Schizosaccharomyces pombe: one gene and its partners. The main gene of each other region encodes a partner of the protein of the gene in region 4 in a complex. Each region holds a gene or a part of one and is shown on either strand. Other genes may lie near its edges. The genes, in order: rml2, mrpl38, mrpl17 and mrpl7.

Region 1 (7,997 bases), on a different chromosome or scaffold from region 4:
TGAGAATGATGCTCTGTTCAATCTAGACTTCTAATTTTAACTACTATTTTATATCAATATCAATGGATGTTTTAGTAAACAAACATATAGTCTTCTGCTATTGTTCAACAAATTGAGATTAATTGGTATTCCATGTAGTGTATTTTGATGCGTAACGTAATGTTTAATAGCGATTTTAGTGTAGCTCACTGTCTTGTAAGCTACGCAGTTTGGTATCTGATTTAAGGATACGTAGAACTGCGGTGAGTTTTCCTTGTGATCTATTATATTACAATACACAGGTTGTATAAGTAGCAACTGAGTATAGGTATTGTATTAACTGGGTTATAATGTTACCTATCACTAATATAGCTCATAACTGAACTGAGGAACGAGGTTCAGCAGTAGCTCTATTTATAGTATTCAGATAATATAGATCTTAATAGATTATCATTAAGATCAATCTCCATATCGTATCATACATGGTACGATATATAATTAGAACATGTGACATATAGTGATACGCAACGTAGTGTATTATAGCGTAGTGTAGTATTGCTGACAAGTATGTTAAATAAAGCAGTTGCTTCTAACATCGTTAACTACTTCTCTGCAGATGCAATTCACTCATTGATCCATAAATCGTTCATCTTACTACCAAGTCATGTCCTTGACAGTATGGAATATTGAATCCATCAAAGATGTTGCTGAAATGCTTGGGATTGGCAATCTTGCCGATGAACCAGCAGCAGCTATTGCAATGGATCTCGAATATAGAATTCATCAGGTGGTTCAGGTAGGTTTCGTGAAAGTAGACTATGAGATTTTACTTTCTTTGGAAGAGGCTAAAATAACTAAAAAATTGTTGCTAGTTTTTTACGATGCCTTTCAATTTGCTAGATAGTCTGCTTTATTCTGACATTAAACATAATTCTCTAACAGTATTTGATTTAGGAAGCCACTAAGTTTATGGTTCATTCTAAAAGAACTGTTTTAACTAGCGCAGATATCTCTTCAGCGTTACGGACGTTGAATGTTGAGCCGTTATACGGCTTCAATAATTCTCGTCCATTAGAATTTCATGAAGCCGCTGTAGGTGCAGGCCAAAATTCCCTTTACTACCTTGATGATGAGGAAGTGGATTTTGAAAAAATCATAAACGCTCCTCTCCCTAAAGTCCCTAGAAACATTTCTTACAGTGCACACTGGCTGGCCATCGAAGGTGTGCAGCCAGCCATTCCTCAAAATCCAACTCCCTCAGATCACACAGTTGGAGAATGGGCATCCAAGGGTACTTCAGGGGTTATGCCAGGTGCTTCAACTGCTGCTAAAGAAGCTCGAAACGGTGTCACTTCGATGGACAACGTTGAGATAAAACCGTTGGTGCGACATGTGCTATCCAAAGAGTTACAGCTTTATTTTGAGCGTATTACCAGTGCATTGCTTGATGAAACTAATGTTGAGCTCCGTGATGCTGCCCTATCGAGTTTACGTGACGACCCCGGATTACACCAACTTTTACCATACTTCATAATGTTTTTATCGGATTCTGTAACTCGAAACTTAGGAAATCTTGTGGTTCTTACTACTTTAATGCACATGGCCTGGGCCCTTCTTGATAACCCCAACCTTTTTGTAGAGCCTTACGTCCAACAACTCATGCCATCCATCCTTACTTGTTTGGTCGCGAAGCGCCTTGGCAGTGATCCTAATAATCACGAGCATTATGCACTAAGAGACTTAGCTGCTTTTTTACTCGGGATTGTTTGTGATCGATTTGGTAATGTGTATTATACATTAAAGCCTCGCGTTACTCGCACGGCACTCAAAGCATTTTTGGATAACACCAAGCCATATTCCACTCATTATGGTGCCATCAAAGGCTTAAAAACTATGGGGAAAGAAGCTATTAGAGTCCTCGTCGTTCCCAATATCAAAGTTTACGAAGTCCTAGTTCGGAAAACCTTGGAAAAAGGAAATGAAGAGGAGATTTACGAGGCCAATAAATGTATGGATGCTTTGTACGACGCTTTGCTATTACTGCGGGATGATCAATTACCAAATCAACGAACTCTTCCGCCAAATGCTAGTGGTCTTCTTGAGAAGAACGTTGGCAGTTTAATGGCTGAAAAGATAATGAAGGAAAACGATACCTCATTGCTTCTTGGTCTGCTAGAATAGTCTTCGTTGGGCATAAAATATTTGTTTTTGAACAATTTAATCTATGAATCTCGGACTTTAAAATATTTACCCAATTTTCCACACTACCTAAACCATTATAGGTTCTATAATTAAAATGTTATTGATATTCATGTTACATTAAAACAGGAAGCACCGAATAGCTTTCAAATGAATAAAAATAGAATGATGATAATATTGATATAGTTTATTTCATGTTTTGATTAAAGATGTGAGACTAGCTGACAATGCCGGGTTTTAAATGAAAGAAATACGTAATAGAACAGAAAGGGGAAGGAATGCTTGATTATGCCAAAGAATGCGAATAAAAGTAAACGAATTAAAGCAATTAAACTAGGTGAGGGAATAGCACCATAATAAATAATAATACTTTATCAGATATCGATGGAAAAATAACTGCACTAATCGCTATCGAATTCATCATTGTCCCCCATATTTGTGATTACTAGACGTTTCATTCCTTCTTCAGCACTGTCCTCGTCTGAAGATTCAGAACTGCTGCTTCGTCGATTGACAAGATAAGATTGAATATCATGAGTAGGTGATCCGCTACGAGATTCAAAGCCGTCTGATTGAGTAGTTTCGGCTCTGGAGTCTGCTCTTGAATGTATTGACATTCCCATAATGGAAGGTGCAGTCCCACTATGGGTTGAGCTGGCACGTGAAGACTCAATCATTGAGATATATGTTGGTGCAGTATTCGATGTCGAAATTACCAATTCGTCCTCATCGTCATCCTTACCTTCGGTAGCAGATAATCGTGGAGTAAGAATGGTGTGCTGAGGAGCCATTGTACGTGAATGAAGCGAAGCAGGACGGGTGTGATAAACACCATGATGCTGGCTAGAAAATACCCTTGAGCGCATGCCTCCTAAGCCTTTGCTGGAAGACTTCCCATTTTGTGATGAACTTTTGATTGATGGGCTAGAGTGTAAAGGAGCCACACGGCCTATATCACTCCAGACAGTCGCCTTTGCACGGCGTAAACTCTGTACGTAAGAAAAAGTAGAACCATTTGACTCATGGTTGCTATTAATGGCATTCGAAGTTGGAAGGGAAGACCTCGAATATGGATCATCATGGCTCGATCGAGTAGCTAAACGTTCCATGCGATTAGTCTTCTGTCTAGTAATGATTATTATCTATTTATTCCTTCTTTGAATAAGTTGCTTGTAGAGTAATTCCAATTAATTTTTAAAAATTTCACAGACAAATGCCGGGATTAGAAAACGAATGGTGTTAAGATAGACAATCTTTTATTTGATTAAGCAATCAGCTAAAACTAATTAAACAAAGCTCATATATCTTTGAAAAGCGCAAGAATTAATGTTTCGTACTGAAAATTGCAAATGTGCGGAAGCTATGTTTACATGTCTCATTCTCGAACATACGGTGTCCCAGAGGTAAATCTTATTAGGTTTTACTGTAATATCCCATAAATTTCTGTAAATAACAATACGCAATTCAATGTGCTTTAGCGTACTGTAGATTCTTACACAAACGAGCCTTACATGCAAAAAGCCGATTTAATCTCCATTTTCCTTCTTAATTTTAAATACAAATTACATTTGACTTCCGATCTTCACTCATTATAGGAGACTGTACCGATTACATTGCCTATAGGGATCTTTCATCTCTCGTTATTCTCGTATAGCAAATTATAGCGCGTCGTAATTTTCTTTGGACGGCACATTCACTCTTTTGGAAACTGCATGTCTGCGAAGCAGTTGTAGAGAAGTAGATTTAAATGGATATCGTTGCAGAGACTCAGATTGAAGAAGAATCATTGATACCCGACGCCACTAGTACTCCATTAGAAACGGAAGTGGTGGCTGATACTACATTGCGTAAAACAGCTTTACATCTAGCTGGCGTCGATAATCTTTCAGAAGAACAAGTCAAAGGATTTATTTCAGCTTATGCTCCTGAATCTCAATGTACAATTGAATGGATTAATGATAACGAATGTAAGAAGCGAAAACTGGCAAAGGGTTAGTCTAACTCTATAACCGCGTATAGGCAACGTTGTTTATGCGGATGATGATGTTTCACGAAATGCTTTATTTCATTTAATTATGGAGTCTCCGACAGAATTTTCAGAGGAATTGGAATATCAAACGAAACCACACCCAACTGTACCGACGTGTCAATTCAAAATACGTTACGCCCGCTACGGAGACAAGAAGGTTAAAAGCGCACATCTTTACTCGAGATATTATCTGTTTCACGGTGATCCTCGAGAAGAAAAGGCTCAGAAGAGCAAATCTAAAAGGTATAACTTGTGAAAACCAAATTAGTCCGGGTGCACTCATACTTTTCAAAAATCATTTCCTCTACTTTTGAGAATCTCCTTTTACTCAATTTTATATTCAAATTACTAACACTTTCGCACAGTAGAAATCAAGATGAAAGGGGTTCGCCATTAGATGAACGACTAGGTCCTAAAGTGTCTGACCTTACACTGATGGAAAGAATATTCCAAGTTCGACGCAAGCCACGCAAATCAAGGAGAGACCGTCGTTCCAGGGTTTCCAAGCGTTAATTGTGTTGTAGAGAAATATTAAATACCCAGTTTATCCGCTTTTAAGTCGCTTTTCGCTGGACGAAGGCAAGAAAAAATTAATATGCTAAATTAGCTACAATTTTATAAATAAAATTTTTTTATTTAGTTGGCCATATTAAAATAAAACCGTTCTTTTCTGCGTTTAATAGAATACTCTTTTGGTACCTGAATGATATCGATAACCCTTTTAAGGTAGATGTAAGCAAACGACAATTTTGAATGGGATAGTCCTTAGCTTTAAGCAACGTTGTGATGAACAAAAATTACCAATACAGATTTAAATTGTAAGAGCTAAACTCTTAAAAAATGCTTAAAATTTTTCGTCGATAAATGACGGTCGACACAAAATAACTATACATAAATGCATCTGGTCCACAAATGGATAGGTAATAGCATCGACTATTAAAATGGAGAAGGGATCATGAAAATTGAAATGCATTACGGTAATGTAAAACATAGAAATGTAAAAGTCATGAAGACAGAGATCATTAATAAAATGATTACCGCTTTTCCTTTCCACGAGGACGATCGCGGACGAGTAATTTATTAACATTTTTACCTCTTCTTGTTTTGTATCCACCTTTAGCCAAAACACCCCAAGGAGATTGAGAAGGTTTATTACCAATGCTTTTACCACCACCACCACCATGTGGATGGTCACATGGATTCATAGCTGTACCTCGAACCGTAGGACGAATGCCAAGCCAACGTGAACGACCGGCTTTACCAAGCTGGCGATGTTGCCAATAAATATTGCTTACAACACCAATGGTAGCAAATGATGTATCCAAAATCTTTCTCTCTTCACCACTTTGTAGACGAACGATAGCATATTTACCATCAAAAGCTATGATACGAGCGCTACTGCCAGCAGAACGACATAGCTTTGCCTTTTGATTTGGATTTACACCAATGGCATGAATGACAGTTCCTATAGGAATTAATCTGAGAGGAAAACAATTTCCTGGCTTCAAATTTTTTGCTGCAAAAGTTCCATCTTCAATTTCAGCAGCTAGGACGGGGTCCATTTCTACTGGCTCGCCATTAGAACCAGTCTTCAAAAGCGATCGAAAGCTCTCAACTGTATCGCCTTCGCGAAGCCCGTCACAAGCCAAAATATAACTTTTGTTGGCTGTTTCGGAATTCAATTTTTCAACAAGGGCAATGTGACCACTTCTACCAGGGTCATACTCAATTCTAATCACTCGATGAACACCCGGTACTTTTCTTTCAAAGTCAACAAGACGAATACGTTGTTTGTGTCCACCACCCTGATGCCTTACAGTAATTCTTCCTGTTTCATTTCTTCCACCTTTTTTTCTTTTTGCAACGGTCAAAGGTCGAAAAGGTTTCCCTTTCCAAAGGTAATCACTAACTGGTCTTTTTAAATGACGAAGACCAGGAGATATAGGTTTGTAAGTTTTAATCTTGATAAGAATTAGTAAAAAATGAATTAAGGCTTGATAAATAAAAAGTAACCCTCGTGTTAATATTACATACCTCGAACTTCGTTTTTGGTCGTAGAAGCATCCCTACATCGTAGGGTCTCTCGGAAGATTCAATTTTTTCACCGCTTGTAGATGCGGTAGAGGCATATCTGAACAGCTTTAACGCATGAATTTGAGGAATCAAATACCCCCGAAATCGATTATAACTCAACATGGGGATTTCCAACTAAACCTATGGTAAGAACTCACAATATGATGGACTGCGAATTAACGAGTTCAATCATAATTTGCGACGCTCAGTGCTAAAATCTTTACACAATCCAAGGTGTCGTTAACTGTGTAAATAAATGAACATTGATCTAGGGAATACAACATAGAGGAAATTGAACACATTAGCTATAATAATGAAGAACTTTGTTTTATTGTTTGATCATCTGTGTAGTAAATATTTTATACATTGTAAACCCGATTCTATACGTTTGAAAGTAATGGCAGGTCAACTGAGAATTTCAACCACGTTATAATATATTGGAAATTTTGATAAATTGAATTTGCTTTTCCTTCGAGTTGAGCAAAGTTAAACTAGAATTTACGACACCTGTAATAAGCCTGCTGAGCATGAAGAGTTTAAGGGATTCAAGGTATCAGGAAAACATTGCTTTCTCACAAAACTCTTCTCACATTCCTTTTTGGATGTGTGCTTAATTAATTACTAAATAAGTTCACATACCAAAAAAATCTTATTTAATATACAGTTTCAACGAAAAGTTTCAACTATGGAAATTTGTTTTGTTAACTCGTTCATTTTCGTTTCAAAACAATTCGAAGATGGGGTTGATCTGCGTTTGTTTAATATAGCTTATTAGTTTGCTTATGAAAGGTTTCGATACTATACTCTGTGTACACTGACAAAGGTCAATCAACATGAAAAGCCTTGAGATGCCATTTTCCAAAAAAAAAAGTGAAAAACACTATTTGATTGACTAGGATCTTCCAAATTCTTACAGATATTAGGTATTTTGACAACATCAAAATTGTCAAGTTTGCAATTCAAAAATGTTGCAAGTAAAATAACTGGTGTCAGGAAAAAAGGACTAATATTTATTGACTTCATATTAATTAGTCAATTGTAGAACAAGATATGTGGTACCCATGACCTCTTTGTTTATTGAGTACTTCTATAATGACTTACTTCAACTTTGCCTTCACCAACGCCAACGCGAAAACAGCCAACTTCAAGTAGGCAAAAGGAACAGACCGATTTGAAAGCATGATTGAGCATCTTAAAGGATGATTCAAAATGGTGGAAATAGCTATGTGGATTCCAATATGAATGAAACGCAAAATGATACAACTGACAACTTTGATGCTGAAATGCAAGATCTAAACGGGTATATAAGCGAAATTGTCGATGAGGCTAGGAATGTATCTGAAGTTGATGCAAAATTTTTGGGAGATACCTCTGCCCTTCAAGCTGAGGGCCTTTGGTCAGACGAAGAGTCAGATTATGAAGGCAGTGACGATGAATCAAACTTTAGTAAAACAGCCTCAAGAACCGAGGACGACATTGCGAACGAGGAATGGGAAGAAAATTTAAAGGCAGTTGCTGGATTTAGAAAAGTCCGTAAAGGTCATAAAGGTCGAGGACGTGTTAGTCGAGCTGATATGCTTCCCTCGGTGGAAGTGCAACAAATGTTGAGTTTAGCGAATCATTTGTTTGCGCAAGAAGGAAACTTCGACGAAGCCCAAAAATTAGCTGAAGAGATTGTTCGTATTGATAATAATGTCATTGCGGCTTGGAAAATGCT
Region 2 (7,185 bases), 1.8 Mb from region 4:
ATCCTCATATTTTAGAAAGGCGAAGCCTTTCGATTTTCCGGTTTCTTTGTCGCGCACTAAATTAATATCCACTGGCTCGCCAAACTCAGAAAACACACATAAAATATCATCTTCGTTCAAATCAAAATCTAAGTTGCCGATGTAAATATATGCACTATCACTATAATCTTGGTGCCAAGAACTGCTAAAAGGTTTATCCAACTCTTGCTCGTTTAAACGCTCAATTTGACGAATGGAGCTACTTTTGTTAATTTTAAAATTAAAAAACGAAAACAGCGAAAAGATGAATCGGATTTTTGCTATATTTTAGCCTCAATAGAAAACTTACTTCATAACAACCTAAGGTATTTTAAATGGTAATTAAACTTTGTAACAGATTGATTTCCAAATTTTTCTTTTAAAATAAAAAAAAAGATTGACAAAAATTAACAGTTGGAGGGCAAAATGGAGAAAAACAAGTTAGCGGCGGGTTTATGGCGTAGGCTTGAATTCCGGGCTTTGTAAAAAAGAAGATAAAACACGAGAATGGGTTTGAATAAGAGGATGTCCAGCAACTCTACATAATAATGTATTAGTTTTTGTGCAATTTAAAACGCTCTTTGGGGCAATAAGGCAAAATTAACATTCAATACTTACAGTCGTAAAAAATTTTCCAAACCTTGTCTACGTTCTTCGATAACATCATCTCTAAATCTTTGAGTGAATATCTTTCCTGGAAGTGGTGGAATTGAAACACGACCGGACTCTCTTTCAAGCATATCGTGAAATTTCTCGAATTCGCTGTAACGTCGACGAACGCTAGAATTATGTAGACGAAAATAGGGCATATTGGTCTACAAAAATGAGTTAATAATCTGCTATCAGAAGATGAATTTCAGTGGTACCTACCCGACAAACAATTTCATAAGTAGTAAACATGTTTCTTCCAATACCGTGAGTTTGTGGATTTATAACCTAAAATAACATCTATTAGAAATATTTCGAAATAATAAAGTAAACATACATCAATTTCAAGGATGTTTTCAGGAACATCATACATTTGTTGAGTAGTTTGCTGCCTGATTTCCGGTCTACTTAATTTATCCATTTATTTACCCTTATTACTCTTAAGAGCGATATCCAATATTATTTTACTGTTTAACAAGTAATAGTTGAAATTTTGAAGAAGTTTAAAAGTTTCGATACAAGGTGTAGTGTCTAGCTCAGATACGGGTACGGCTAATGAGATTCATAATCGGATCGCAAATTAGTAAGGCGTTTACTGTAAACATATCGCAGAGCATTTTTTCAAACTGCGTCGTCTAAAGATGAGAATGATAGTTCATTTGCTTCCAAAAAATAAAATGGATTCACTAACGTCCAAATCCTCCTCTCACTTTCAACAAAATTAACGAGTAATACAAAATCAAATATGTAGCATACAATCCATTATGATATTTTAATATGATAAGAGCAATTGCTAGTCAATATCACATTTTTGCTTTAATGACTATTCCACAACTCCATGCATGATGAAGAATTTGATTAAAACATGTGTAACAAGCAAAACATCAGAAGGTTAAAGCAAGATAACAGGTTATGACAAACAATTTGCTTGGAATAATTTCATATTTGAATGCATCTAATCAAATCGCTTTTTTTTTAATACAAACAGTTGTTTTTATTTATATATTTTGCGATGTGTTACATACTACGATATGCCAACTAACGTCAAATACCAAATTCTAATATTACGCATAGTGTAATTTATAGTGGAAGCGAGTACGTGAATGTATGGTCAAGTACTTGAATCTTTAGCAATGATCGGACTTAAAGGTATACTCAAAGTTATCGACAATTCCGTAAGTTTAAAATATTACTATTTGTACTAATAAGATGGAAAAGGGTGCTACCTTAGCTGAGTGCATTCGTGTAGTTCGCGCGGGAAAATTCGCTTCACTTGGTAAGTAGCACGAAGTGATCTTTTGTTTATATTCGACTAACATCACCTTTTTTTAAAAAACAGGTGATGAAGTGGTAGTAGTGGTAAAAAAGGCACGAAGCGGTTCATCAGTTACTGCTGCTAATAAAGTTAAACGCGGTGATATCCACCATGCTATCATTGTTCGGACGAAATCACCAGTTCGAAGACCCGATGGTCGTTATGTTCGTTTTGATGATAATGCCTGCGTCTTGGTTAATAAGGAGTGTGAGCCTCTGGGAACCCGTATCTTGTCAGTCGTTGCCAACGAGCTCAGAACAAAACATCATACTAAAATAGCATCTCTTGCTCCACGAACCATCTGAAAAGGGTATTGTAATGTTAATATTTCACTTAATTAAAATATATTTTTTAATTTTCTATTCTACGTCTAATTAAGGGACCTTGTCTCTTCAGCAAACACTTTTTACCTGATAGCCAATTAAGATTTTGCTTTTTTGGAGTTTTGTTACTCGTAAGCATTGTGGGGTTAAAAGGTTTTTACTACACACTTTTTTAGTAAAATACAGCTGTAGCAGGCTTTATTATATAGTCCATTATCTGTTAAATATATCTGATCGATCAAAAGAATTTAATGTTCTAGTAAGAATGGATTTGCTGGCGATTGATTTGGATTTTGATGTTAGTGAGTCAAAGCTTGAACGGAATAAGCGATTAAAACAGAAAGTAAGCATTGAAACTGATGGATGGACTCCAAGAGTTCAATGTTTTGGTGTATGTTACTCATTTTTTACTCCCAATTTATTGTCTATGATTTTAACAGATTATTCAGCATCTTAGTAAAAATGGCGTCGTCCTCGGTGAAGAAGCCTATATTTTAGAGCAATCAAAATTTGCAGCGGAAGAACAATATTATCTGGGAAACTATTCCTTAGCTAAAAAGTTTGCATTTCAAGCACTTGATGTTCCAACTGATAGTTCCAGCATTGAGTACCACAGACTGAGTTCAGGCGAAATCAATGAAATTGAAGACATCATCAGAAGATGCGAAATGAAACTTGAAAATAAGCAAAGCAATTAATTAGAAAAAATTTTTGTCTTGTCAAAGAGTACCTACCCAAAACTACACACTCTGTCTAATTTTTGTACATGATTTTCATGTGGAAACAGATTAATCACTACTTGTACCATCATCCTTTACAATTTGTCCTTGGTTTTGTTATTTGAATAAGAAATAAATTAATCAAATTCAATCGTGCATCATTTTTTGTATCATTAAATTTATAGTCTTTGTAGGCTTTTGAGTTATCGAGTTACCAATTATTCCTCATCAATCTTCATTAAAAAATTCTTTAGCGCTGTAAACCTTCCACGTTCCCATCCGCGTCAGTAAAGTAATCGATTTTATTAGTACTATAGGCTGACGCCGGAATTGCAGCTGGTGACATGATTAGAGGAGATGTAATAGATTGAGCAGCCGAACCCAGAGCCGCTGACAACGGTGTTGCAGGTACGCGGGCTATTGGGGACATCAAAGGAACAGGAGTGGCTAAAGATGACTCAGTGTAATGTCGAGCAGAGGAAGAAAGTAAGATAGTAAGATCTTTTGTAGATCTTGTTGCAGCTGAAAGACCAGCTAATACGCTTTTTTGGAATGTATATTCACTGGATAACGCTTTCGCTAAATTTGCGACTGCAATAATAGACTTGACAAATGCTTGAGTGTCGTCCAAAAAAAGCTGCCATTCCAATTCTTCCGGATTCGTTTGAAAAGTTAGAAGGCGATGCTTAAGTTTTCTAGTAACATCACAGGCGGCGGCGGATAATGATCCCAATTCACGTAACTTACTAATCAAATTGGGTGCGATGTTTTCATTTACTAGATCAGGCTGGTTATTTTTAGGAACAGCATCAATTAGTAATGTCAAAACTGACATTGCACTGTTTGTTGCTAAAGCGACCTGATCTTGTATTTGTTTATCAATTTCAGGATTCATCACTGATGCTGGTTTTTCAACGCTAACGATTCTGTTCGTAAGCCCAGATGCAGTCCGGATCATACTTGTCGGAGATTGACGTACCTGATCGGCGAATATGTTATTACCACTATGGGGTTGTGATGGACTCAATGGTACCAAGGCGTTTTGTAACTCCTTTGCAGCATCGAAAAGAATTAGCAGTAAAAGCCGAACATATCGGACATCCGCACGACTAGTGAGCTCATTTAAAAATTTTTTTGTCACTTCAATTAGTTTACGAAACGAGCTGATACAAGACAATGAAGCGTTTACTATGGAATTAATGTTTGCAGTTCCATCATTGCTTTGTTGGGTATCCTCAAAGCACAGAATTAGCCGCTTAATTTGAACATTGGCAGTATGTAACACATGACGCATAGAATCTAAAACAACGGGGTTGCTGCAAAAAAGAAGTTGCTGACGAAGGGCTTGTTGGACTTGCGAAAGCGAAAACAATATGCCCCTAGACGACTCTAAAGTTTTTTCAAAGGCCGAGTGCTTCATTTCAACCTCACTCCCTCCAATGTTACTGAAGTAGCTGTTGACCGAGTCATTTGTCAAATTGGAGCCATTTTCATGCGTTTCTTCTTTTTTCAAACGAGGGGAAGGATGAGGATCTTGAGCAAAAATTCGATTTGGTAATTGCTCAGAAAGTTTGCGCGCTTCTTTAAGGGCTTCAAGACGATGTAAAACACTCGATGGAAGTCTAGTAGAAGAGTAATCATCATTTGTACTATTGCTTCTATTACGCTCTTTCTTGGCAACCTCAGGTAAACTTATGGCTGATGTTTTAGCACTCGCACTCAACTGCGTTGGAGCTGTTTTTAGAATCGATTGTGTGGAAGCAGCATCATTATTTGAGGGATTTTGATGTTGATCAGTGAATTCTGAAATTTGGTCTTGAATGGGGCTAGCGCCGTTAGTATTGTGAGTACGTTCTTGAACGTCTGCACTAGCGACGGAGGAATTGGTGAGTGAGCTTTGGGGTGAATGGTACAATGGTCCTGTAGCAGAAGAAGGTGGTTTTGAAACAGAAGGAGAATTGAGGCCAGTAGCTAAAGAAACTGACCTACGAGGACGGGCTTGTCTAGGCGACGCATCTAGATGAAATTTGTTTAATTGATTAAGTGATGGAGGATGAGTGCATCCATGAGCAACATTTGAATCATACAATGTTCCTTCTGAGTTCTCATTTGTCTTTGACAAAGTCGATTTGGGTGTGGACTGTTGATGCCCGGCAGGAGAATGTGAATGGGGACTTGGCGTGACAAACGTCAGCATGCCAGGTGAAACCGCATGGCTAGTATCTGATGGGGCACTAAATAAGTAAGAATCAACCACAGAGGAGTCATTTTCTTCCGAGTGACTAAGATTAGCTGAAGCGGATAAAGCAGCGGAAACAGTACTTTCACTTCGCGTTCTAAAGACTGATTCGTTTCGCGACAAATATCCCTTTATATTGGCAATAAACAACTGCATATCAGAATCTTGCAAGTCATTATTAGCGATATGCGGAGGAGGAAACACAATGTGATTGTTTTCAATTTTAAGAATTTCAAGATTCGGCATATGTGCAATGTAGGTGGGAAGCTCAAAAAGACGATTTTTAGAAATTGAAAGAACTTTAAGGTTCATTAAAGCTCCAAAGGATTCTGGCAGTTGCTTGATTTTATTGCGAGAAATGTCTAAAATTTCAAGTGACTCAAGTCGACACAAAGATTCGGGAAACTCTCTAAGGACATTCGATCTAATATTTAGGTACCGGAGACGAGTAAACTTTAGGATTTCAGGACCAATACTCTTTATAAAGTTATGGCCTAGCGCTAGTCTCGCTATCCGACCCTGGATTCTTTCCAATTGTTCATAAGGTAATTCCCGCAAGTTTAGATGAGATAGATCTAACGTAAGTGCATTTTCAGGACCCGCATCTTCTGCCTCTTTAATAATTCTTTCAATTTCTGAGTTTTTTGTGGAGGACACCTCATGAGCAGACATAGCATGAAAAGATCGATCACCTCAGACGTAAATCCGAAGGTTTTGTTGAAAAAAAAAGGAACTCTAAGAAGTAATAATTACTAAAAAAATGCAATGAACATAAAATTGATCCACAATGGTATGCTATAATGTACAAAAGTCAATTCCCCAAAATTTACTGCCAAGCTAGTTCGCGGAACGAATAAACTCACTTCTTTCTGTGTACGCATCTGTAGGTTGTACTTTTTTATTTTAACAACGTGAATAAGCACTTTTCCTTAAAATAATTACAGTTTATTAACGTTTACACAAAATATTTTCGTTAAGTTTGATATTGCGTTTTATTTTTTTTAGCTATGCAGTTCGTAATTATCATTAATGATATGTTAGACTACTTGATTTTCGTATGTGCACTACATAGCGGTACATATGGTTGTATGATAACGGGGGTTACGGATATCCTTGTATGAAGGCGGTAATGTAATTTATCTCTAAACAAACCACCACAGCTGAACTAAAGAACGTTGTTCCTTTGATTTTACATCTATCATTTCTAGCTAATAAATTAAAAAATTTATTAGTGGATCTACATCGTATTGTTATCATTTGTAAGACGATAGGTAATCAGAACATGTGACATATAGTAATTCGTAATTGTAATGTAGTATTGTTAGCATTCATTTCTAATTCTTGAATGATCAAAAGCACTCGCTATATTATGTTGGTTCGAACTTTTTGAGTTCATCGAGATCAGAAGTCGTTATTAACAGGAGCAACAAATGCTAACGCTACAGTATGTTTTGTGGTAAATAATTCTTTAAGTGTAAATTGATAACTTTTTGAATGAGTTGCAATTTTGTTGATTCAATATTTCTGTCATTTATCTATAGTTTGTTTATCAATTTGATTATCTTGGTGCGTTTGATTTCCTAATCATTAATATTTATTGTTTATTTTATTAGTCCTTAATATATTGCTTCCTAATAGAATCGCCTAGGTTTATCATTATGATTTAAGAACCTGATAAAAATAAATGAGTTGATAAATTGTACATATAATCAAACACGGTTTTTTTTTCTATGACTAAATGGGTTACTATCTAAAATAATTTTTTTTGGTTTCTCATTGAGAAATTGAAGCCTCATTATTTTTGAATTTCAAAAATATTGGTTTGTGTTGATTAAATCATTTAATCTGAGTCATTAAATATCCAAACCTGACAAGTAGTAATAGGACCATTAATGGTAGCCAACTAAGTATGGGTATAACGTT
Region 3 (8,259 bases), on a different chromosome or scaffold from region 4:
CGTTTCTTCTTATAACGCTGATGACCCAAAGAAAGTTGCTTTAGCAAGAGCCGCAAGAACTGATAAAGGAGTTCATGCCGCTGGAAATGTTATCAGTCTCAAACTTATAATGGAAGATGAGAAGTTAATTGAAAAAGTGAACGAACACCTCCCTCCTTCCATTCGCTTATGGGATGTGATCCGTACTATTAATTCTTTTAACCCAAGGACTTATTGCGAATCTCGTATATATGAATATATGGTTCCAACGTATGCTTTTGTTCCACCGAAACCTTCGTCCATACTTGGAAATTGCATTATGAAGAATTCTCCCATGCCTGCTGAGCCAATTAACAAGGAAAATATAAATCAACTCAGTCGTTCATTATTTTATGAAGAAGGAAAGGAATTTTGGGATGATTATGATATTGCAGCCAAAGAGATTTTGAGCCTTTATGAACAGGATCCTGAAGGCTTCGTAAATCCATATTCTAAAAGGGGAGCTGCTGCTCTTGCTAATTCGGAAAATAATAAGGGCTCTGAAGCAGGAGTTTCCGCTAAAACTAATCCAGATATGGATTCCGATTCCTCTGCTATTGTAAACGAGTTTTTAAAGCCTGACTCTGTTGAAGACGAATCTGCTGGTTCCAAGATTGATCCCAGTTATCGTCTCGAACGTGCACTTAAGCACATTGAAGTACTTAAATTAAAAAATTACCGTATTTCCGCAGATAGGCTGTCCGTTATTCGAGAAACTTTAAACCAATATGTTGGAGTTCATAACTTTCACAATTTTACTGTGGGGCAAGCATTTCATCAGAAGAATAGTAATCGCGTGATCCGTTCTTTTACTGTAAGTAAGAATTATCTTCTTTGTATTTATAGTATTCTTGACAAGTCTTGTTTCTAACATTCTAGGCATCTGATCCATTCATGATTGGCGATACAGAATGGATTTCATGTAAAGTTCATGGTCAATCTTTTATGTTGCACCAAATTAGAAAGATGATTGCGCTTGCTATTTTAGTTGTACGAACGGGTTGTCCTGTTGAGCGCATACAAGATGCCTTTAAAAAAACAAAAATTAACATACCCAAGGGACCTGGTTTTGGACTTTTATTAGAGTCACCGTTTTTTAAAGGTTATAATGAACATAAAGCTCCAGAGAATAATCGTGATCCTATCGACTTTACAAAGTACGAGCAAAAAATTACTGCTTTTAAGCATGCTCATATTTATGATAAAATTTTTCTCGAAGAAGCTCGTAAACAAGTGTAAGTATATTTTTTTCTTAAATTAACTAACCGGTTTAGATTTCATTGTTTTTTGTCTTTTATTGACAGTTATAATGAAGAAGATTTCAGTTATTTATCAGATATAGGCATTACTGAAAAGACGCAAGAGGTTTCCTCAAAATTGCCTGATGTTCTTTCTAGCGATGAAGAAGAAGATTCGGCTGAAAACAAGGATGATTTAGAGGGCTAAAGGATTGATTGTGAGACTGAGGATTTGCAACAAACTGATACCATAAACTTTGCTGTTTCTTTTAAAAAATTAGACTACAAACGTGTACATATATTTTTGGAGAATACTTGTTTCTTTCTTTTTTTTAGAATTGATTATTGGTTTTGGGTTCTATTGGTATTTTTATAGTTTATTAACTTCTACTTGATTATTCCAAATGTTAAGACCGTATGGTGCAATATACAAAATAAAAAATGAAAAAATTAATGAAATAGAAACTAGATGAACGGAGGAGAAAATTAAAAAGTCGAAAATGCGTGGTCAAGTAGACCAAAATGTAAACTATAATCTCATAAAGAATTTAAATCATCAACCGAAGCAAAATCAAAAGAATTTCTTTATAGTGGTTGGCGGGCACTAAAAGGAATCACTCGTCCCAATATAGTACCAGTAACTTGCATACCCTGCTCACCATGTCGAAATGCAGCAGCTATTAACTCTCTAGTACGAAAATACGAATGGCGACGTTTTACGGGTAAAAAAACTTTTTGCTCCAAAGGCTGATTGCCAGATTTCTGGAGAACATTCATAATGAAACTGACTTCTTCATCAGAATCAACAGGCGCTTGATGCTGATTATCTTCGGATTCTTTTGCAGTTTCGAGGATTTGTCGTTGTATTTTTACTTGGTTTTTCTTTTGACAAGCTGCAAGCAAAACATCGTATGGCTGAGATCTTCCCGGAACGGCTCGTTTGCTTGACATTGAATGCGTTTTACATGTGAGAGATCTGGCGCACATTTGCCCATTAGGAAGCAAAACACCGCATTGCTTTTCAACATCCACAGGACCTTAATTGAATGTTAGTATTAAAGTAAACAGGTACTCCATTCTCCATATTGAACAGCATAAACCAACATACCTTTGACCTTTGGATTCTTCTTCTTGCTAGCCTCTTTCTTGGGAAGGGCGGATTTTGTAGGCTTTTTGTTTTCTTCTGTCTTCCGACGTTTTGGAGGCATTTCAGGATTCTTTTGACCATTAACTGAATTCTTTTCATGATTCCCAGCTGAGCCCTTAGCTGTCGATTTAACACCATTTTTGATGGGTGCATTATTGCCATTGTTGACATCTTTGTTTAAAACCTGAGAATTCGCAACAGGCTCAAATTGAGGCTTAGGAGGTTTAATTCCATTGCATGAGCTATGATGGTCCTCAATATACTCTGATAGGAAGGGTCGGTCGCATTTTGTGCATACAACATAATCGAGTTCTGAATTGTTAGGATATGACCCATACTGAGGAAAGGAATCAGCAGGTAGTAAAATTTGAGTTTGATTCGTAATGTTAGAAGTTATTTCATCCTTTACCTGTGATTCTGTATTATCAACTCTTTGATCAGCGAGTACATCTTTGGGTAACCCATCCGGGTATTTCAACAAAACTTGCTCATTTCTTTCCCAATTTTCTGGAAATAACTCCAAAGTCTGTTGTTCTGTTAACATTTTATTGATAAGAACCGAGTTTATAAACAGAATTCTACAAAGTTGCCCTTTGTCAATTCCTTTGTAGTGGGACTAAATCTGTAAGTCAAGTGTATGTACGGTTTAATGCTTCCAGAAAGCAAAGTCTATAATTGCATTCTAATGAACTTTCAAAGGATTATGCTGACACATATCATTTCTGATAATTACTAAATTATACAGACATTGTCTTTAAGGGCTAGACTATGACTGACAAAAGAATTTTTGATCTTGGAATTGAGGACAAACTACGGATATCAATTTTGATTAACAATTCTATTTTTTTAGGTCCCTTGAGCTAAACATAGTTTATTATTAAGGTGCGCGCTTTTCCCGTTTTCTCGTACACTGCCAAGAATCCACAGATCATGAGGGTGAGTAATCATGAAATCCGGACTCCAAAAGTAGGCGGCTGAAAATAAAATACTGGCAGAATCATTTGCAAATAAAAAGATAGAATAAATAAGGAGAAATACTTAGTGAAATTCCAAAATTATTTGTTTTTTTTTACATCGTACCAAAACATCAAAAATTAAGGAGAGAAAAAAATAGAAAACGTGAAAATTAAGCTGAAAAATGCAGTAAGATTGTAGAAAGATTGAATTTCCAAGATGAAATGTTCCGCTGTTTATTTTCCGTAGATTTTACATATTGTTTGCTCAATTGAAGATTACAAACGATCGGAAAGTATGTTTTTTACAGAATCCCATGAAGAAGGAGAAAGTTTGTTTTTCAGTTCATCGTACGTACACCAAACCCAGTCATAAACGTTTTGCAGGTTAGGTACATCTAATCCATTTAATAAACGAGCACGTAACAAGAAGGTCTAGAAATAACTGGTTAAACAAAAAATCAACCCAGATAAAATGAGAACAAAAAATCCGTAGTCTTACCTTTTCTTGTTCCGTTTTTAGTAATGCTAATGGATGACGTGCAACTAGCCAAGTCAACGAATTTTCGTCTAATATATTTTTTAAAAGATCTTGACATAACTACAGTTTGTTAGAAAGGCCAATCTGCAGACTATGTAAACAAAAATTGCAAGAGTATTTGATAAATTATTTAGCATCAAATCAATAGTAAGTAGTCTCTTGCACTATATTGTGTATCTTGGAATCGAATTTTAAAAAATGTACTTACCAGATGCAGCGCCTTCTCGGAGCTTGTAACAGGAGTGTTAGGAAATTGCCAACCCGAGCTTTTAGATTTTTTTACCAACAAGTAAAGGGACTTGTCAAGCGAGCGAAGAGTGCTTCGCTCATCGTTTTTCGTATCAGCTTCTGTGACTCTGGATTGCAAGTGAGTTGCAGAATCCAATAATTTGTTAGACTCCATCTCTTTCCTTTCCTTTCCAAATATCGTCTCAAAGGGTGATTCTTTACCTTTTAGTGTTTTTTGTCGTTCTTGCCAATCTTTTTCACCCACCGATCCCTTCTTGAAATAAAATTCTGCAGGTAAAGGATCACTCAGCTCATTCCAAAGTTCCGCATTATATTTATATATAGATTTTTCGAATTCGGATGGTTGGCGAGTAAGAATTGGCGATCTAATTAAAATTGTACCCACTGAACAACCTAAGATATGTTAGCAATCATGTACATCAAAGGTAATTTTTTTATTTATATTTAATATCCCTAGATAATTCATTTTCATTTTTTAATTCTGTACCTTTTAGAGGAGTCGAGTTAGACAAGGGTTTAGAGGATTGAATGGAATTTCGTACAGAAATGTGAAATTGACGCGAAAAAGACCTCTGCATATTTATAATATTTCTCTTCAAGTACATTGTTTAAACTTAGTCAATTTACGCCAAGTAAATCTCCAAATTTCGGCTTTGTTTACTAATCCGGTAAAGACCACTTGGTAAAGGCAATCGACGTTTCGCTATGGCTAGCACTACCACCTGTTTTACCAGCGTACATTACACGCTTCGTTAAGTACTGTAATATTTCTTAGAGACTCTGTTGCTATCGTTAATATGTTTTAATAGATTTCTTTGGATTTCGTTATAATTCAATTTAACTCACTTAGAATGGGGAATTGCTGACGCAGTAAACCTTTCAATCCCCATAACAATGTCTGCTTCCGTCGAATTAAAACGTAAGAAATTTGGCTAAATTCTTCTAACGTGTGGATAGCTACAGAGAAGTTCAGTAAATTTCTCGAGGAGTACTCTTCGGTACCGGTTCGCGCCGCCATTATTAGCATTTCTAATGGTAAGTTTCCATTCGGGCTAGAAGAGTAAATTTTAAGTTAGTTGAAGTTACTAAATGATTTAGAGAATTCATTTGACGTGAAAACAATGGTTGAAAAATCAGAATCGATAGAATCTGATTTTAAGAAAGTCCGTGAATGTTTGCTCGGATCTGAAGAACCTGCATTTGTCCTCGTTTATGATGATAGCAAGAAAAATCTATTACAATTAATTTCCTATGTCCCTGAAAATGCGAATGTTCGCAGGAAGATGTTATATGCCTCTAGTCGTGCTGCATTTGTAAGATGCGTAACTCTTGCTAAACTCGACGAGTCTTATTTCGCAAGTACTCCGGAAGAGTTAGATTATCAGCAAATTATGAAGAGCTTAAGCAAGCAAGAGGACCAAAGTCCTTTACGACAAGATGAACTCGAAAGGAAAGAGTACAATGAGGTAGGTAAACTGTATTGGGGTGGATGGATTTTTCATACTTCTTTACCGTGGCTCGTAGAATTTATAGCTTCTACTCTTTTATTTGCATCTATTTTAACAACTATGTAGTCTATGCAATCCTCAGTAACTCATAAGCGTCCTTTGGTGACCCGTGGTGTTGCTATGTCGATTGATGATAAAGCCTTAAAGGCTCTTTCTGATTTAAAATCATCTACAGAAAACAATCTTGTTATTTTGGTAAGGAAGCTATGATACTTTTGCTATGTATGGTGTTGCTAACCTCCTTTAAAAGTCTATTGACAAAGAAGTCATAAGTTTAAGTCAAGAAAAGCAAAATATACCTCCTTCTGATGTGAAATCCTTCTTTTCTTCCACCGAACCTAATTTCGCTTTCTATTCCCTGCCAAAAGACGGCTCTTCAAAAATTTGTAAGTACAGATGCAGGATCATTTTATTAACAAGGTCTAGTGTTTATATACATTTGTCCAATGCAAGCAACTGTCAAACATCGAATGGTTTATTCTTCTTCCAAACTTGGTCTTTTGGATAGTATTAAAGCAGAATTGGGTATTGTTATTGATGGCAAGGTATGTTTATCCCTCGTAGTAGATTTTATGCTCACATGACAGATTGAATCGAATGATGCCGCTGATATAACTGAAAAGGAAATTCTTCATGCTGCTGGGATATCAAGTCCTCAAGCAGAAACAAGCACCACCAAAACTGGTTTTTCGAGACCTCGACCCCCTAGAAGACGTTAAGCAAGTATATACAATTTTTTGCGGTTTCAAATTTACAGACTTTTTAGTTTATCAATCTTTTTCATGACATTTCAAATTCGAATTAAAACAAAATATACTACCAACGCCTATATTGAGCACACGTTGCATGCTATATTAACGGTCTCACTTTGCAATGCAAAATGTTATACTTCAATAAATAGAATAAGACAATCACTAGATCTATACATTGTTTCCTCTTTTCTAAAAGCGAAATCCTTAAAGACTCCATTCTTGACGAGTGTTAATCTTGCAAACATATATTGTTCAAACATTAAAGAAACACTATCCTTCATTAACAAAATAAATACTCTTTTGGAAATTGTAATTGACCTCAAAAGTTACTTTCTGATTTCCAAAAGATTAGATATGATATAATATTAAAAGCATATGCACCAAACCATAACTCCTATCATAAATACATAACTCATAATCAGTCATTTGAAAGAGACTGTATACAGTTAACAACCTTTTCCCGTATTGTCTTGCTTATTTTATGTTGCTGAGGTCCTTCAAGCGACAGAGTACCATCCGATAACGCAGTGTATACAGATCGACAGATATTCTTATTGAATAGAGCAAATTGATCTTTAGATATTTTTGCTTCTCGATAATAAGGCTTCAGAGCTGCGTTAACTAGCCGTTCTATTCGATACTTCGTTTCATAAGAGACTTTTTTGCTGGAATGCACCAAATCATGTCGGCCCGAAGTGCGTCGTTGATGCATACTCGTATCATTAACTAAATGATTATCCACAATTTCTCCTGGTTCCGAAAGTTCAATCAAATGGTCATCCAAATTATCATTACTGATTTCCCTAGGTGATAGCGGTACGTGAGATGGTCGAGGAGAGAGATTTGAGAAAAGAGGAGTCAAGTGAACGTCTGAAGTTCCATCCGAAGCTTCAGAGTGAGAATTCTTAATCTCATGTTGTAAACTTAACATAAAGGAAGTATCTATTCGTGAGGTGCTTGGCTGGTTGATGTTGCTAATTAAACTAGCGAGAAAAGAATTCTCTGATTTAGATGATGAATTATTGCCTAATACTGTAGAAGATCCTGAGGATTTATTAGAACAAGGAATGTGCCGACGAGTAGGTCGCTTTTGCCTCCTGTCGTGACTCGTGGAATTTGGGTCATTCACAAATCGAGTATCTTGTTGATGATGTTCTTCTATAGGCGTTTGCTGAAATCGACCCGACGAAGGTCGTGGGTTACTAATGGTAGCCTCAGTGGCAACGGAGTGGACCGATGAATTCGCATGTAGAATTTCATCAAAATCATTCCATGCTTGCTGCTCAGAAGCATTCGTTACTGGTGTCTGCACTACTCGTGGCTGCTCAACTGGCTCATTGAGCTGGTTGGAACGTAGACGTGCACTCTCAATACGACGTCGCAAAAGTTCAGACGAGACGTCACGAGCAGGCAGTCGTTCTTGTTGCATACCATAATATGAGAGATCTGAATTCAATGCATCCCAAGCTCGATTTCTAATGGCATTCCAAGCACGTGTCCATGCACGCTGCTGTTGTTGAGAAACTCGCGAGGCACGAGCAGCTGCTCCTACCCTTCTGCGTCTTGTCTGGCCTCTTCGAGAAAGAGAAATACGTGAAGAGAGTGTTTCATTTTCTTGATAGTTTAACAATACACAATTAGGGCAATAGAACTCTTCTATAGGTACTGCATCCATGTTTAAGCAATATGTATGATATGCATCATCACACCCATCGCACAACAAAAGCACCTCAGCATGATCAGAGCGGCCACATATGACACAGCGACAGGTTTCGGAACCTTCGTCTTCAAACGGCTCGCCAGCATTGGCAACGCTTTGGGTTTTCTCCTCCACAGGGTATGCACGATACCAG
Region 4 (8,298 bases):
ATTGCTTGGTTTTATGTTCGAACCATTGTCACATCAAACAATTTAAATTGAAGTCCCACACATATATTTTTGGCACTTATAATTTTGATTTTTTTGAAAGATCTGTACGATCCGTCGTGATTGTGTTACAAACCAAAAATCGCTTTCAGAATGCGCATTTGCGGGTTGCTAATTTTAGTGCGCGATTCTTGCCGTCCTCTGAAACCGATTGAAACATTGAAATTGTTAAAACAGTACTTTACGTTCGTACCTTAAACCAGTAGTATCTGAACGGTGGTTAACGACATTTGTATTGCAGATAAAGAGAAAGATTATTATTCACTTGCTACACATGGTTTATACGAAAGTTTTAGATTTTAATATCTGATTACAATTTCTCGTCGATATTTAGACTCCTTGTGGAACTCGTATATGTACGTAAGTGTTATTTAATAGATATCTGAATCTGTGCCGGGTGAGAATTGCAATACCTATATAAACAAGCAGCCTTTACGAATTTTTTGGCAGCTTCATTTTGGTAATGAGATTTAGTGAAACTAATATCGGTTATAAAGTGTATAGTTATATTGTTACGTCAAAGAGCACGAGACTAAGGGAGGCAGGTTAAACGTAAATGCTACCAACTTTGAACTTAGAAGTTATACGTTGTACAACCACTTTCCTGCATTTATGGAATATTATACCTCGAAGGAGGTAGCAGAATGGTTGAAAAGTATCGGATTGGAGAAGTATATCGAACAATTTTCACAAAATAACATTGAAGGACGACACCTAAATCATTTAACCTTGCCTTTACTGAAAGACCTAGGCATTGAAAACACCGCCAAAGGCAAACAATTTTTAAAACAAAGAGACTATTTACGAGAGTTTCCACGTCCATGTATACTGAGGTTTATTGCCTGTAACGGGCAAACTCGAGCAGTTCAATCACGAGGAGATTACCAGAAAACACTCGCTATTGCTTTGAAAAAGTTTAGCCTTGAAGATGCTTCAAAATTCATTGTATGCGTTTCACAGAGTAGTCGAATTAAGCTGATTACTGAAGAAGAATTTAAACAAATTTGTTTTAATTCATCTTCACCGGAACGCGACAGGTTAATTATTGTGCCAAAAGAAAAGCCTTGTCCATCGTTTGAAGACCTCCGCCGTTCTTGGGAGATTGAATTGGCTCAACCGGCAGCATTATCATCACAGTCCTCCCTTTCTCCTAAACTTTCCTCTGTTCTTCCCACGAGCACTCAGAAACGAAGTGTCCGCTCAAATAATGCGAAACCATTTGAATCCTACCAGCGACCTCCTAGCGAGCTTATTAATTCTAGAATTTCCGATTTTTTCCCCGATCATCAACCAAAGCTACTGGAAAAAACAATATCAAACTCTCTTCGTAGAAACCTTAGCATACGTACGTCTCAAGGGCACAATCTTGGTAATTTTGGTCAAGAAATTTTGCCAAGAAGCTCTCGGCGGGCTCGCCCTTCCGAATTGGTTTGTCCTCTTTCCTCTCTGAGGATTTCTGTTGCTGAAGATGTTAACCGACTTCCTAGGATTGATAGGGGATTTGATCCTCCACTTACTGTATCTTCTACTCAGCGTATTTCTAGACCACCATCGCTTCAAAAATCCATAACCATGGTTGGTGTGGAACCTTTATACCAGTCCAACGGAAATGAAAAATCGTCGAAGTATAATGTTTTTTCAGAAAGCGCGCATGGCAACCATCAAGTACTTTCCTTTTCACCTGGTTCATCCCCATCATTTATTGAGCAACCATCCCCAATTTCTCCAACTTCCACTACAAGTGAGGACACAAATACACTTGAAGAGGACACTGATGATCAGTCTATCAAATGGATACGTGGTGCGTTAATAGGTTCAGGATCGTTTGGACAAGTTTATCTCGGTATGAATGCATCTAGTGGTGAGTTGATGGCTGTTAAGCAAGTGATCTTAGATTCTGTTTCTGAATCAAAAGACCGCCATGCCAAACTTTTAGATGCATTAGCGGGTGAAATTGCTCTTCTACAGGAGTTGTCTCATGAGCATATTGTCCAATATCTCGGTTCTAACTTAAATTCGGACCACTTGAACATTTTTTTGGAATATGTTCCTGGGGGGTCGGTTGCCGGATTGCTTACAATGTATGGAAGCTTTGAGGAAACGCTAGTCAAGAACTTTATTAAGCAAACCCTTAAAGGCTTAGAATACCTTCATTCACGCGGCATTGTACACCGTGATATAAAAGGTGCGAACATCTTGGTTGATAATAAAGGGAAGATTAAAATTTCGGACTTTGGGATATCGAAGAAACTTGAACTAAATAGTACCTCTACGAAGACGGGTGGTGCTCGCCCTTCTTTTCAAGGCTCTTCTTTTTGGATGGCTCCCGAAGTGGTGAAGCAAACTATGCATACGGAGAAAACAGATATTTGGTCTTTGGGATGTTTGGTAATCGAGATGCTCACTAGTAAGCACCCTTATCCGAATTGTGATCAAATGCAGGCCATTTTCAGAATTGGGGAGAACATTCTGCCGGAATTCCCTTCTAACATTTCTTCATCGGCCATAGATTTCCTTGAGAAAACGTTTGCCATAGATTGTAATCTTAGACCTACAGCATCAGAGTTGTTGAGCCACCCGTTCGTTTCATAAGCCGGCTAAGTTATGATGAAAACAGAAACATTATTTTACGATCTATCTTTTTTATGTTTTTTTGCATCATTATCATTGCATTTATGCCATTTAGAACTAATGAATTTATTTAACCTATAAACCGTATGATTTAAGTTGCTATATTTTTCTACAATATTCATGTTTTTAATGATTTTGTGAATGTCCTTGATAAATACCATTATGAGTTTAGTTACTAAAAAAATACTATTTTACATGTTCAGTTTGTTTAAAAAATATCCATTGATTATTCCTTTTCAAGAAAAAACTTTTTATTTTTATTTACTTTGTGAAAACGATAACATAAATATATAATAACACATATCTACGGGAATTCTATCACTTAAACAAGTAAAACTCAAAAACGTATGTATGCATTAGTCGTAGAGAAGGGGATTTTTTGTTCACTCCTTGAGGAGAAAAGATTAGGTATAGTAGATATAAAATAAATTGTCTACTATCCAACATAGCCTTCCTTATTTCCATCTGTAAATGGAATAAGACTGCTGACGAAAAAACGAGCCAAACGGGTATCTTTGGAATTGGTTGTTATATTTACGTTAAATCCAGGTAAAGAGTGCGGATACATCTCATAAACAGCTTCAATTTGGGGAAATAAAGGCATGACTTCACTTGGTAAACCAAAAGATATGTTTCCTGTTTGATCTCCGCTTGTAGGACTCAGGCCCTTGAAATCATGAAGCTGAGGAAGAACCAACTCAGATAAGATTGAAAGAAATGTATACATAGATTCTCCAGTTAGAGTAACCTTTACACCTACTGGCACACCTGAACGAAGTTTCCAGGGAGAAACGTCCTTACGTGCATAGACTATTTCGGGCTGCAAACCCGTTATAGAACGAAATGCCATCATTGTACTCAAGAGCTGCGTTTTGTCAACGAGTGCTTCTTTATGCATAGTGCTGACGACAACTTTGCTAATAGAAGGAAGGTTTTTAGGATTAACGGACTCCTTTACTGGTAACAGAGGCTTATTACCACGCATTTTCTGAGGAGGCCGGTTTTTATAATAAGGGTTATCACCAATCCACCTTGGAAGTCTGTCTTTCTGTGTATGTTCATCTGTGCTTAACGCTGTATCTATGTCATGTCGATATGAAGCAGCTAATACATCCGGTAAAATGGTATCATGCAAGTGTTCTTGTAAGCGATTTAACATGGTGGGTCCTGGACGAAAATACTCAGAATTTGGATCCCATCCTGGTAGGGGCCTATTCTTGCCCAGTTTTTGCTTTACAGTGATGGTTCTTCGCTGCAGAAAGTTAACTGATATTCTGATATTTTTTCTTATCCCAAGCATTGTTAAAAATTAAAAAATGAATTAAAACAAGTATAATGACAAAGAGAAACCAAAAGCGACAAAAATACAACAGGTTACTTTCTAGGGAATTTTCGTGAAAATCCTTTTGCTTTATAAGCAGATGAGCACTTGTGTTATAATTTACCAATAAATTATAGTAAATAACACAAATCCGGGAAAAAATATTTATAATCACGAAACAAGGAAATTGTAAAGACCAATGTCCACAAATGATACCTGTTTCTCAAATCTTCAAAGGAAGGTTTTAACAAATGGTTATGGATAAAACAGGTAAGTCTCGCAACCAAAACAATTTTGCAATGGATCTTAGGTACTAGGGCTGGAAGATTGCTCGCGTTTGTCTAGTGTATTGTCATGGTTAGTGTACCGTATTACCTAGTGCCAAGTAAGGAAATCCGAGGCATCGTTATAATCATATGCCACACGATTTTGAGTGCCAAGTGTAATAGAAAGTATTGTACTTGTAACTTACAAACTTATTTAAACAAGTTAGCTTTAAAGCTTTAAGCTGATGTCTTTCTGTTTTTTTTTATACGTCGAAAAACAAATGTTTTTCCTTCAGCTGGTACATAAAAAAGCAGCTAATTGCTCTTCTTTTACAAGATGATTTTATTTTTGTATTTCTCAAAATCGTGCCAAATGGCATGCCACACATATTCAAATTATTGGAAAGTATTATTACTAACTGGCTCTACAAACTATTTGGATAGGATAGTGATGCATGTCATAAGATCACTTTCATGCAATAACAATACTAATCCAATTCGTTCTTTTGTATTCACTTTGTTCTTGTTCGTTTTTTACCTTCTTTCCTTTCAATATAGATGTGTGATGATGAATGAGAGATGCAAGAAGCTTAGCTCAAACACAATCCTGAAAGAGTAAAGTACTCAACATAAAATAATGCATTTATACATTTCGTACCTTTATCAATCTATTATGCAACAATAAAAGCATTTTATCCAAAAGAAAACAAGTTGTCTTAATACTTGAAAAGATCAATAGATTTACTTTTAGTTTGGTTTTCTAAAAAGAGAATCACACTTGATAAGAAATTGATTGCCTCGAATAACTCAAAACTAAATTATCTTAAACAACAGATACCGCCAGTGTATACTCAAAAATCATAGATATATGTTTCGAATTCGTAACACTTTAATGAAAAACCAAGCATTTCATAGGAAAGACAAATTTACACTTTAGTTTTGTGTCCAGGCATTACGATAACGTCTGGTAAAGACATAAAAAGAGGTATAAGATCTGGCACTTGAGAATCGCCAGTCATTACAATTTGGATACAGAACAAGCTCTAGAAACTCAAGATAGTGCAGTAAATGTTTATAAAGAGCATTTCTGCTTAGAATCACAAAACAAATTGCACTGAGTAACCAAATATTGAATATTCACTGTCCAAGCTCATATGCTTATTATCAATCAATTGGCAAGCTGAGGATATCCAACAAGTCAGATAACTTCATAATTCGAGGCTAAAGATTCTATTTAAAGAATTCAACGCAGTCCTATGTAAACAATTAACCCATTCTATGATATATATTGTAACATTGGGAAGCGCCTTAATTGCTTGTGTTTAGGTCAAACCAGAACAGCGCTATGATAACTAAACAACGTTTTATTTTCCCATCGACCATATTTTAATTTAAGTGTCGTGAATACCCGTACACTTTAGGCCATTTGATGACTATTCATACTTATATAAAAGTCAAAGCCTTTCTTTAGGCAAGTGAAGAACCATTTCTAATTCGTAAGCACAGTGTATAAACAAAGAAATCCGTGATACATTATTTTGGGTTATTTCACTTCGTGAGAAATAAAGCAAGAAATTTGTTCGTTGTTGGCAGCAAAGTTAATTGACTGCTTCTAACAAACTTCAGAATTTTTAATGAAACATTACAATCAACAATACAGTTTAATTATTGCTGATGTTAACCATTTTCTTTAATAGCTCAGACAAAACCAAATGTTCCGGAGGTTCCGTAGCAGGCGTAGAAAATGTGTTTAAAGCAGGGCTTCTCAATGGGCGGAATAAAACACGTTCACCTTGTAAATGTCCGTTTTGCGGAGATCCGTTCAAGTGTGTCTCACAAGAACTGAGATTCCCAGACACTAAAGGATAAGAACTAGTACTTTCACTAAATGGTGTGCTAGTCCTACTAAAACCAGAATCGACAGCTCTAGGACTCTCATTTGAAAACGTGCGTTGTTGTAATGAATGAACAGAGCACCCGGTAGTTTGAGCAGGTATAGGTTGAACAGGTCCAACGAGGCTATCCACCATCCTCCCAAATTGCAGACTTGCAATACTAGATGACTGATTAGCTATGGATGGTGTTCCAGATAAAAAAGGAGATGTAGGAGAAGATTGAGCAGATGGAAAAGAAGATGAGGACATTAGTGAATAATTCGATAATCCCATTCCAGTAAAAGCCTGTCCGCTAAATGGAGATCTGTGGGGTGTTGGAGGCGAAGAAAAAGATGTGCTATTTGGTGTACTTTTCGCTCGCATATTCAGTAACACATACAAAGAATCTAACGCAATTGTTATCAGTGCGTCAGAATCATCAACTTGGGGACCTTTACCTTCCTCATTAAAAGGATAATGATTTGAAAAGTAAAGCCACTGTAAAGTATCACGAGGAACTCCACAAACCTTAACAAGAGGGAAAAAGAATAGCAGGCCGATACTTTTAGAAGAACAGCGTACAAGAACAGAGTCGTCGGGAGCTGTTTGATTTGTGTTCTCCAAAAAGAAGCTTAAACGATTGAATATCTGTGAAAGTCCAGTTCGAATATCTTTAGTAAGCCAGACGTCCCCATTTTGCAAACACGAAGAAGTCAAAACACACAAAGGTAGAAGCATTGGCATAAGTACAGCATTTGAAGACAGAGATCCATATTGACGACGTTCGACTAGATCATCAAAATTACCGTCCTTCTTACTCGACACACCAGAGGTAAGAGCTTGTAAAGGAAGCTGGCTATTCACTGAATCAGAAAGGACTTCAAAAAACATAGTTGTAGTTTGTGTAGCAAGCTTTAAATTCGGATACGACTCACCGTGTTCTCCAGAATCACTAAAGCCAATAAATGGAGCTAAAACCCTTGCAGCCAATGCACAATATGTCATCTGTAATAAAGAGGATTCTGAAAACAAGCCGCTTTTAAGTGACTCAGAAAGAAGAAATCGAACTCGTTTGAATAAAGGACCAGAGTCTTGTATGTAGTCGGCATCAGTATTACTAAAAGCAATTGCATACAGACGCAAAAACAGGGAAATGGCAGAGGATTCCTTATGATATAAACAGGGATTCGAACCATCATTAGTTTTGCCGAAGCAACGCTTCAAAGCAATAAATAAACTAGTCTTAGCCGATGAGGCCGCAACATTGTTAGGGGATATGGATGACAAAAAGAAAAAAGAAATAGCAGGTAAAGCTTGAATGAGACGTTTATCCTCTACATTAACGTTACCCTTCAGGGAACTGCTCTGGCCAGAGGACGACTTTCTGGATGAAGATCGAGCATCGGCAACTTCGATTAGCCCAAGTTGGTGAAAATGAACACCATAATCGGGTGCTACGTTAGCAGCCATAACATAGTATCTACGGGAAACTTGATAATCAGGTACGTTTGGAGAACGAACCTCAGCCAAGTAACGGTGGACATCGCCAATGTAAATCAAAGACCTATACACACAAAGAACCAAATACTGTGGTTTATGATCAGTTAATGCAGGTTCGTAAGTGAGTGAATTAGAAGAAGAGTCTTTCTTTAATGGAGAAGAAGAGGATGATGGAGAGCCTGAAAGTAATCTTTTCACAGAGTCAACTTCCAAACAAGAATCTTCAAATATGGAGGAAAAAAGAGCAGCAAGCCTTGATTGCGAATTGGTACTTGTTTTCCAATTATGAGAACCTTGCTTTCGCAGAGGGGACTCTAAAATCGTTTTAGGAGTTACACAAGATGTAAAGAAAGAAGTTAATGGACTGAGACATTGTAAATGATATAATTCACCAATTATAGCAATCAAAGTAGTGTAAAACTGTATGGTTGAGTTCAAATACTGAATATGCATAGTAACAAGTGAGCTTAAAAGCTCCGGGTCATGTTGGGTAGATGCTTCATAGATACGATGCTTAAAAAAGGAGATAACTTGGTAATGCACCCGCATCCACAAATACGTCAAAACATCTTTTTCCATAGAAAAGGAAACATCAATCAAAATAGTTCCACCAAGAAGGGAAGTTATTTTTTGACATAACTCGAAGATT

The links.
Region 1: mrpl7 (region 4) and rml2 share a complex: the UniProt entries of both Schizosaccharomyces pombe proteins name them as parts of the mitochondrial large ribosomal subunit.
Region 2: mrpl7 (region 4) and mrpl38 share a complex: the UniProt entries of both Schizosaccharomyces pombe proteins name them as parts of the mitochondrial large ribosomal subunit.
Region 3: mrpl7 (region 4) and mrpl17 share a complex: the UniProt entries of both Schizosaccharomyces pombe proteins name them as parts of the mitochondrial large ribosomal subunit.

What each region holds. Positions count from the first base shown.
Region 1 is NC_003421.2:694,328-702,324, reverse strand, and holds rml2 (mitochondrial 54S ribosomal protein uL2m), read right to left. Parts: upstream 6,414-7,997; 5' UTR 6,404-6,413; coding exon 6,242-6,403; exon of another isoform or gene 6,218-6,241; intron 6,169-6,217; coding exon 5,242-6,168; 3' UTR 4,843-5,241; downstream 1-4,842. Other genes in the region: TATA-binding protein-associated factor TAF6, read left to right, coding at 644-775, 934-2,160; protein mug123, read right to left, coding at 2,580-3,287; RNA cap binding protein cbc3, read left to right, coding at 3,926-4,145, 4,198-4,450, 4,573-4,720; transcription factor TFIIIC subunit Sfc4, read left to right, coding at 7,480-7,997. UniProt on the Schizosaccharomyces pombe protein: Component of the mitochondrial ribosome (mitoribosome), a dedicated translation machinery responsible for the synthesis of mitochondrial genome-encoded proteins, including at least some of the essential transmembrane subunits of the mitochondrial respiratory chain.
Region 2 is NC_003423.3:3,549,549-3,556,733, forward strand, and holds mrpl38 (putative mitochondrial ribosomal protein subunit L38), read left to right. Parts: upstream 1-1,795; 5' UTR 1,796-1,799; coding exon 1,800-1,841; intron 1,842-1,884; coding exon 1,885-1,942; intron 1,943-2,005; coding exon 2,006-2,286; 3' UTR 2,287-2,343; downstream 2,344-7,185. Other genes in the region: RNA-binding protein Cwf29, read right to left, coding at 1-238, 329-333; sorting nexin Snx3, read right to left, coding at 472-556, 637-833, 889-954, 1,004-1,087; SPOM_SPBC887.08 (uncharacterized protein), read left to right, coding at 2,570-2,695, 2,754-3,002; leucine-rich repeat protein Sog2, read right to left, coding at 3,274-5,934. UniProt on the Schizosaccharomyces pombe protein: Component of the mitochondrial ribosome (mitoribosome), a dedicated translation machinery responsible for the synthesis of mitochondrial genome-encoded proteins, including at least some of the essential transmembrane subunits of the mitochondrial respiratory chain.
Region 3 is NC_003421.2:2,120,910-2,129,168, forward strand, and holds mrpl17 (mitochondrial 54S ribosomal protein mL46), read right to left. Parts: upstream 4,837-8,259; 5' UTR 4,752-4,836; coding exon 4,634-4,751; exon of another isoform or gene 4,540-4,633; coding exon 4,106-4,539; intron 3,958-4,105; coding exon 3,859-3,957; intron 3,792-3,858; coding exon 3,636-3,791; 3' UTR 3,224-3,635; downstream 1-3,223. Other genes in the region: pus1 (tRNA/U2 snRNA pseudouridine synthase Lsp1), read left to right, coding at 1-832, 898-1,253, 1,293-1,464; SAGA complex deubiquitinating submodule subunit Sgf73, read right to left, coding at 1,842-2,293, 2,365-2,947; twf1 (twinfilin), read left to right, coding at 5,041-5,065, 5,104-5,181, 5,245-5,612, 5,721-5,849, 5,905-6,040, 6,081-6,199, 6,242-6,373; ubiquitin-protein ligase E3 Asr1, read right to left, coding at 6,825-8,259. UniProt on the Schizosaccharomyces pombe protein: Component of the mitochondrial ribosome (mitoribosome), a dedicated translation machinery responsible for the synthesis of mitochondrial genome-encoded proteins, including at least some of the essential transmembrane subunits of the mitochondrial respiratory chain.
Region 4 is NC_003423.3:1,734,668-1,742,965, reverse strand, and holds mrpl7 (mitochondrial 54S ribosomal protein uL5m), read right to left. Parts: upstream 4,325-8,298; 5' UTR 3,989-4,324; coding exon 3,125-3,988; 3' UTR 2,869-3,124; downstream 1-2,868. Other genes in the region: MAP kinase kinase kinase Byr2, read left to right, coding at 670-2,649; ebs1 (EST1 family protein), read right to left, coding at 5,937-8,298. UniProt on the Schizosaccharomyces pombe protein: Component of the mitochondrial ribosome (mitoribosome), a dedicated translation machinery responsible for the synthesis of mitochondrial genome-encoded proteins, including at least some of the essential transmembrane subunits of the mitochondrial respiratory chain.